Linked DNA regions of Xenopus tropicalis. The protein of the gene in region 2 binds, or shares a complex with, the protein of the main gene of each other region. Links are inferred from orthologs where the notes say so. Each region holds a gene or a part of one and is shown on either strand. Other genes may lie near its edges.

The links.
Region 1: the proteins of ralgapa2 (region 2) and nkiras1 are in contact, whole or in part, in a crystal structure (PDB 9QU1), measured with the Homo sapiens proteins. The link is inferred for Xenopus tropicalis from reciprocal best matches to the Homo sapiens genes RALGAPA2 and NKIRAS1. Residues at the interface, in NP_065076.2 of Homo sapiens: Pro20, Lys21, Tyr51, Ser52, Gln53, Phe56, Tyr59, Glu60, Ile63, Arg99, Phe102, Arg103, Trp104, His105, Tyr106, Gln107, Ser108, Lys185, Ile186, Tyr187, Pro188, Glu189; in NP_001364280.1 of Homo sapiens: Lys6, Glu22, Leu24, Leu25, Tyr26, Glu34, Met39, Glu40, Asp41, Val42, Tyr43, Met44, Ala45, Ser46, Val47, Glu48, Lys54, Gln56, His58, Tyr60, His74, Tyr75, Ser77, Phe78, Lys108, Thr162.

Annotation. Positions count from the first base shown.
Region 1 is NC_030682.2:46,635,534-46,639,794, forward strand, and holds the start of nkiras1 (NF-kappa-B inhibitor-interacting Ras-like protein 1), read right to left. Parts: upstream 2,905-4,261; 5' UTR 2,632-2,904; coding exon 2,538-2,631; intron 1-2,537. UniProt on the Homo sapiens protein: Atypical Ras-like protein that acts as a potent regulator of NF-kappa-B activity by preventing the degradation of NF-kappa-B inhibitor beta (NFKBIB) by most signals, explaining why NFKBIB is more resistant to degradation.
Region 2 is NC_030681.2:36,761,241-36,764,717, reverse strand, and holds part of ralgapa2 (ral GTPase-activating protein subunit alpha-2), read right to left. Parts: intron 332-3,477; coding exon 189-331; 3' UTR 1-188.

The DNA.
Region 1 (4,261 bases), on a different chromosome or scaffold from region 2:
GCCATTTTTCCTCCGATAAATAATCAGTTACATTTAAATCTGCAAACAGCCTACACAGACCCTTATTCAGTATACATTTCATCAAGAATACAGGCTTACACAGGCACAACTGTCTCTGATAAAAGTTCAGTTTGAGCTGAGCTCAGGAGAGGAGGTTAGGAGAAAAAAATTGAAGCTGACAGCTAGAGCCGAGTTTCTATGGGAACTGGCAATGCCATCTCCTCACTGGCTGCTAGACTGGAGGGCGTGTTTAGTAATCTGAGCTGAGAAAAACTGAGCATGCCCACAAGCCAGAAGTCAAAGCAAATTCCTGAGGGAAGGGGGCGAGTATGTTACAGGAGGAGAAGGAAATCTAAGTGATTAAGGGGATGCTGCAGCCTTACTATTAACCTCTGGACAAACAGTGTGGCAGGTATTGAAAGATTTAAAAGAGGCTGTTCACTGATTAAATTTTTGTGTCTGGGGTTTACATGTTCTTTCAGTGGGCCCGGTCATATTACAAAAGTTATGTAAATTGCATAAGTAAAGCATAGAGCATAAAGCTACGCCAAAACTTACGCAATTTACGCAAAAACTGCTAGGAAAACTATGTGACTCTCCTAGAAGTTTAAGAAACTTGCATCAAGCAAAAGACAATGCAGAGAAGCTTTGCAGGGATAAACCCCACTGGCCATTGACAAATTAACAAACTTAAGGTAAATTCCACTGTCTCCAATGAACTGACTGATTTTTTAGCTCATTAATTCATTTTAATTCTTAATATAAACAGCTTATTATAGAGTAACATCAGATTTGTTTTTTATATTGGGAACTATTTATTATTCTACATGAACTTTGCAACAGGGGAATGACTTGAATGGTTATTGGGCCCTGCAGCAAGAAACATCATTTAAAATACTGACTTATTAGCACATTCATTATTTTTACTATTTTTATGAACTACTACTGACTGCGCCTCACAGTAATATCATCGGGCCCCTAAACGTATGCAGTTTACGTAACTTATGCGAAAACTTACAGAACTTCCATATCAAGCAATGATAGCACAGTGCAGGGGCAGGTAGGTGGGAATGGGTTAAACGTAGGGCAAATTTCACTGACCCCTAATAAACTGAATGACTTATTAGCACGTTAATCAATGGAACTCTTTATATTATCTGTTTACTATAGAGTAACATCAGCTGTTTATATTGCACACACAAGGGGCATGGCCAGTATTTTGGTACTGCGTGCTTGTGTTCATGGGGGGCTCCATATAAATAACTGGTGTGGGGCCCCAAATTTTCGGATGGCAGCCCCGTATACCAGTTTACCATACAATATTTACTTTATATTATTCTGGTTTATTGCATATTATTTTCTTATGAAAACCACCTAGTTCACTATTACTGAGATATACAGTATGTACCCAACACATATGTAATTGACTGTAGATTTGGATTTTTTAATCTCTGATTCTTATCTATCTTTTTAAATATCAAAAATTATTTATTCCTTTATCACTATTTACATGCTGTGATATTAGACTGTACCATTTCTATGTACCATATTCACAAAAGTGGCATTAAGATGCACTTTGACATTTCACCGCAGTAAAATGTTTGTTTAGTTCAGAAATTGATTAAACCACTCACAATCACCTGGACACCAATTTTCAATACACCACCCTATGCCAAAATTTATTTTTTTTACTATATATATTATATATATATATATATATATGAAAAAGCTAAATTAAGCAATTACGCCAGCTGAATTCCATCCTTTTGAATTTTATGTTAAATAATGCCAGCAAAATGGAGTTAATAATTAACATCAATTTCACCTGGCACAAGTTATACTCCAGATTTCATGGATAAATTTGCTACTACAAATTCACAAAACGACGGTGTACAAAATCACCATATTCACAAAACAGATTTAATAGAAATAAACATTAGACCAATAGATTAAAGCTTTTGTGAATTTAACGTTCTTTTGATTCCCCCCCCCCAAACACTGGTGTTCAGATTAGATGATTTATAGCAGTGATCCCCAACCAGTGGTTCGTGAGCAACATGTTGCTCTCCAACCCCTTGGATGTTGCTCCCAGTGGCCTCAAAGTAGCTGCTCATTTTTTAATTTCTAGCTTGGGGCAAGTTTTGGTTGCATAAAACCCAGTGTAAAGCCAAACAGAGCCTTCTATAGGCTACCAGTCCACATAGGGGCTACCAAATAGCCAATTATAGCTCTTATTTGCACCCCCAGGAACATTTTACATGCTTGTGTTGCTCCCCAACACTTTTTCCATTTGAATGTGGCTCACGACTATAAAAAGTTGGGGATCTCTGATTTATAGGGTAAATCAATATCAAAGTCAAATTTGTGTTTATGTCACTTTAGTGAATTCCCTGCTTGCTAAAGTGTTGAGAGTAAGTTTTCAGATTCAGTGTGACTGAATATGAGTTTCCTAAATCCAAACATTACCAAAATTGTATGGATTTGGCCAACTCTTATGAATCATAGTATTTTCATACTGCCTGATACACTAGACTTACCTAATTTGTAGTTTCCATATAGCAGCTGTTCCAGGATTGCTGTTTTACCAACTGCCGCAAACCCACAAACTACAACTTTGCTGCCTTTCCCCATTGTAAATGAGAAAATTCTACAAAACACTATTCAGTCTGACTATTAATCCTCTGATCTGTGGTAAAATTCAGTTGTGCAACACACCTGGGCTTTAAGGATTAGCACTAGTTTTGCTGAGGGTTCTATTCAGTAGCTTATCGTTCCACCTTTTAATATCCACTTGGAAGAAGAAACCATAAACACTATATTCTCATCCTCTTCAAATCCCAAGCACCTGTGCATGCTATGCTGATGTCTCTGCAGCCACACATCAATAGGAATTTTTAAAACAGGTATCATTTTTTTCTAGAGTCATAACCAGCAGTAACTGACTAGACATTTATTTTTAATTGTCTGACTGCACTAAACTAATTCAAACTGATTTATGATGGGTTGCATATGCAAAGGTTACTAGTCTTGCATAAAATGACATCTGTTTTGTGAACCACACTGATTTTTTTACAGGTTGGATTAAAACCTGAGTTTCTAACTGCACCTCGATGTCCTGCATTTTTCATGCATTCAATTAACTGACCAATCTCTCCTCTGTAAGGACTGCACCCACAGAAGTGTAAAACAATTGTGCATGTGTGTAAGAACCTTTAGTACAATGCCACATGAAAGTGGTTATAAATTAAAAACAGGTTTTCTTTATATGAGGCTTGCCACATAGCATTATTCTTTGCTATGGGAAAAGCCACAATTACAACTGTCTTTATAGAAAACATTTCAAAAATCTGATTCTTATGCCTGCACCCAGAGTCATTGCATCGGCCCGACTGCAGTAACTACACTAAGCACAACTGCTTGCGTATGTTGTTTTGCAGTGATTTCCACTTAGTGTGCCCAATACAGTGGCAGCAGTTGCAGGCACAACAATGAGAATTTTAAAGTGTAGGGGCAGATTTTGGGCCTGCACTTATCCGAAGGCCATGGGGCCTAAGGGGCACATTCATTAAAGTACGACAGGTTCAATTACAAAAAGTGTATTTTTTTTTTATGTACAAATTTTGCGTATTTTCTGTGATATTTTCATTAATTTGTGCAACTTTTTCGTACTTTGCGACAATTTGTGCGACAAAAATTGTATTTGTCGCAACGAGTACGAAAGTTTTGGATTCATTCAAGCTTCAGTATCGTGACTTTCCTTGGGCGAGGTAGGAGCTGCAGAGTGCCATTGAGTCCTATGGGAGGCTTCCAAAATCATGTACTGAAGGTTCAAAGTCAGAAAGGTCTTCGCACCATTTACAATTATTCGGATACAAAAATTGCGCAACTTTGGAATTGTACCACAATATTTTCTTCCAAGCACGACGCGACTTTTCGCAAAATTAACACACATCAGAAATTTTTGTATTTAATGCAAATTTTTGCAAATTGTACTTGTAACTCGTACGTTATTGAATCTGGCCCTAAGACTACAATGTGTATTCAGCTACCATTGATATAGCACCCCCCGAATTCTGCAATATTTTGGAGATCCTTCTATTATTGAATTTAAAAATGGTAAAAAAAATCCTTAGGCTGTATTCTAAGGACAATGGCACATGGGGGAATATAGAGCACTGCATGCTACACCAAACCACTCCCATTCACAGGGGTAATTGTAGGCCTCGGGGCAGTTTTCTGATGCTGCTCCTATAACACCTGT
Region 2 (3,477 bases):
CATATCTTAGTGTCTAGTGGATGGCTTCTGCTCTCACCCACCCAAGGGGGTCCTGCCCCGCTAGACATGAACTACAACATTGCACACCTCAACCATATTAAAATTTATGTTTTTTTTTTTTTTTACTTTTAATTATTTTATTTTCATTTAAAAACATCTCTTGAATAAAGTTCCATATAAAAAGTGCTTCAATTGGAAGATTTGCTGATAGCGCTGGCAGAGCGGCGGAGCTTCCCTGACACTTTGCTCTTGGTGGCACGGCTCAGTGTTGGAGAGGAGGGTTCTGCTGCCTCGGCTCCAGCCAGATCTGCACTTGTACTTGCCGGGAGTCCTAGGAAGGAGGAGGAGAGAAGGTTTAGACTGCAGGTATCTCAAGCAAAAAGCTTCTACATAGGAGCAGGTTAGGGCAAAGGTAAGGACTATAAACATAAATGCTGATATAGTGCAAATAAATAGGCAATGTGTCGACTATGGTAGATAACAGAGCAACTCGGTGCCACCTTCTGTGCAACTAAATATCACCTGTGTGGCAGCTGTAGCTGGACATACTGCATGCAATAATATGTTCATCAAACACACTATCATCATGACATAAGGATGCCAGAGGGGCTGCTGTAAGATGCCACAGACAGTCACTATTTATTGGGCCAGGGGGGCTGTTTGGGCCTCTGTGTACTTGAAATGCCGGGGCCTATCCAGAATCCCAGTCCAGGGTCCTATCAATGGGGCTCGATGCAAGTGGCCCCAGTGACCCCTCCACTTAGCCACAGCGCTATGTCAGACACACATGTGCATTGCATGATGAGAGTTCATTCCGCTGAATAGTTTCTCTGTATCATATGGACACTCCTTTTGCAGTGAGAAAGCAGTCAGAGCTTGCTTTTTGCCTTAGAAGACACAGTAATACACACAGAGAATAGTGCAACCACAGCAAACTGCTTTTATACGAGTGTCTAAGCATCTGATTAAAAGACCACAATGGCCAGTCCTCACCCACAAGGCTTGGGATGGGTCCCTAAAGCAACCCTAAAGTATTGGAAACACCACTTTATTTGCCAAATCTCAAATATAAGCACAACAAATTTCCGATTGCGACTTCCATGGGCTTCGCACACTGATATTTTAATCATTAACTCACAACTCAATTACTCCCAGAAGGTGAAGATGACTGAAGGTCACAACTAAACGGCTCGGCTGAATGGGACCAGATGAGGTTGCTACTATTAAGCACAACACAAAATGCATAAAATTAAAGCTTCGGAGTAACAAATCTCTCCCAGTACAATTACAAACGTGCACCGAGGAATTCAGAGATGTCTGTTGCAATCTAGGAGGGTTGTTGCTTTTGTTGTGGCGGCGTCTCCCTGGGCAGTAGGGTAAGAGGGAATTTCATTTCATCAGGCTCTCGCTGCATCATCTGTAAATCATGAATCACGAGGCACAAGTGCAAACAACTGCTCATGTAAATCCATGCACCAGCCTTTCAACGCAATTACAATTCCCATCAAACTGCAATTGATAGAGACACGAAGGGAACAAATGGTGAGTCATTTGTTGCACTGGATAAAGGTCATGGTGTCCCAGCACTGTGCCAATGTATATGCTACGTGGGGTGCACAGAACCAAGCAGAACTGTAGGACACACTGTGCCACATTCTCACCAATAACAAAGCTTTGCCTGGTATCGGTATGTGCATCCTGCCCAGACAACTATGACTTCAAGCAAAACTATACCCCTCAACCATGTAGGTCTCTATAAATGTATCACATAAACAGCTCATATGGGAAAACCCTGCTTCATCTAAATAAACCTTTTTATTTTTTTTTTTCATAAAAATATACTTTTCTAGTAGTATGTGCCATTGGGTAATCCTAAATAGAAAAATGCCATTTTAAGTGCTAAGGAATCACAGTGCACACAAACAACGCAAGGGCACATATACATGCCAGGTCACACAAGGCATACCCCCCCAACTGTCCCACTTTCAGGGGGACTATCCCGGTTTTAATAGCGCATCCTGCGTAACAGATTACGGAAATGTGGAACATTCATTGAACTATATGGGACAGCGGGATGCGCTGGCTGGACCAGGGCGCTCCTGCTCCTTGTGCGGCAGCGGCTACAGACTCTTTCATAAGGTTGCGCCCCGTGCGTATTGACGTCACACGTACGCACGGAACGCAACCTTATAAAAGGACCTGTCACCGCATAAAGAACAGGAGCCGAAAAAGAAGAAGACGACAATGACTTTGGGAGACACTATCTATGGGGGCACTGTGTATGGGGGGGTACTGTCTATGGGGGTATTGTGTATGGGGGTTACTTTCTATGGGGGCACTGTGTATGGGGGCTACTGTCTATGGATCAATTGGTGGCACTGTCTATGGGGTAAATTGGGGCACTGCCTATGGGGTCAACTGGGGGCACTTTCTATTGGGGGCTACTGTCTATGGATCAATTGGTGGCACTGTCTATGGGGTCAATTGGGGGCACTGTCTATGGGGGCAATTGGGGGTACTTTCTATGGGGGGCACTGTGTATGGGGGGGCAAAACTGGTACATAGCTATAACTCACTTATAACTGACTGCCTTCTATATTTGTATTTTATATGTAGGAGTTGCTATATTGTTTTCCTTAGGTAGTAGTGTATGAGGGTATAGCACATTTTGTGTTTGATCCGCCATTTCAACTATATAAAAGGAGTATTTTTGAAAATAAAAAACAAACAAAAGGGGAGTGGTAATTGGGGCGTGGCCACAAAAGTGGGCATGGTCAAAAAATTTGCCACGCTGTGCACGCCAAATCTTTTTATCCCTCTTTCCATTTTTCAAAAGTTGGGAGTTATGATAAGGCAATTAATGAACAAAGTTTTGTCTTTTACTCCAACACTTCTCCCTGTTAGGGTGAAGACACACACAGCTACTAGTAGCAGCTAATTTTTCAAGGCTACTGAACTCCAGAAAATCCCCTGCCATAGACAATACTGAGAATTGCTTCTGCTAAAACACATGTAGAGACAATTATCAGTAAATGATCAGCATTGTCTATTGCTGTAGCTGTGACAAGTAGCTGCTACTAGTAGCTCTGTGTGTCTTCACCCTTACAGTTACAGCTGCATTATTTCCTGTCAGCTGATCTCTGAGGGAGCATACAGAACATCACAAAATGGTGGCTCAAAGGAAAGGATGTAAAAGGGCAATATTTACTGCAGGTCCAGACTGGCATTCTGAATAAGCCCTGGCATTTAAACTACACAGAGGCCCAAACAGCCCCGCAGGCCCAATAAATAGTGACTGTGGCATCTTACAGCAGCCCCTCTGGCATTTGCCAGAACCCACAAATTGCCAGTCCAGCCTGATTTACTGAGTTAAGTAAGTTAATTAAGCATTGATTCTGGGGATAAAGTATTAACTAAGATTGGGGGCAGGTAATTCCCATTCCCCAGCTTGAACTTTAAGGGCTCTGGCACACGGGG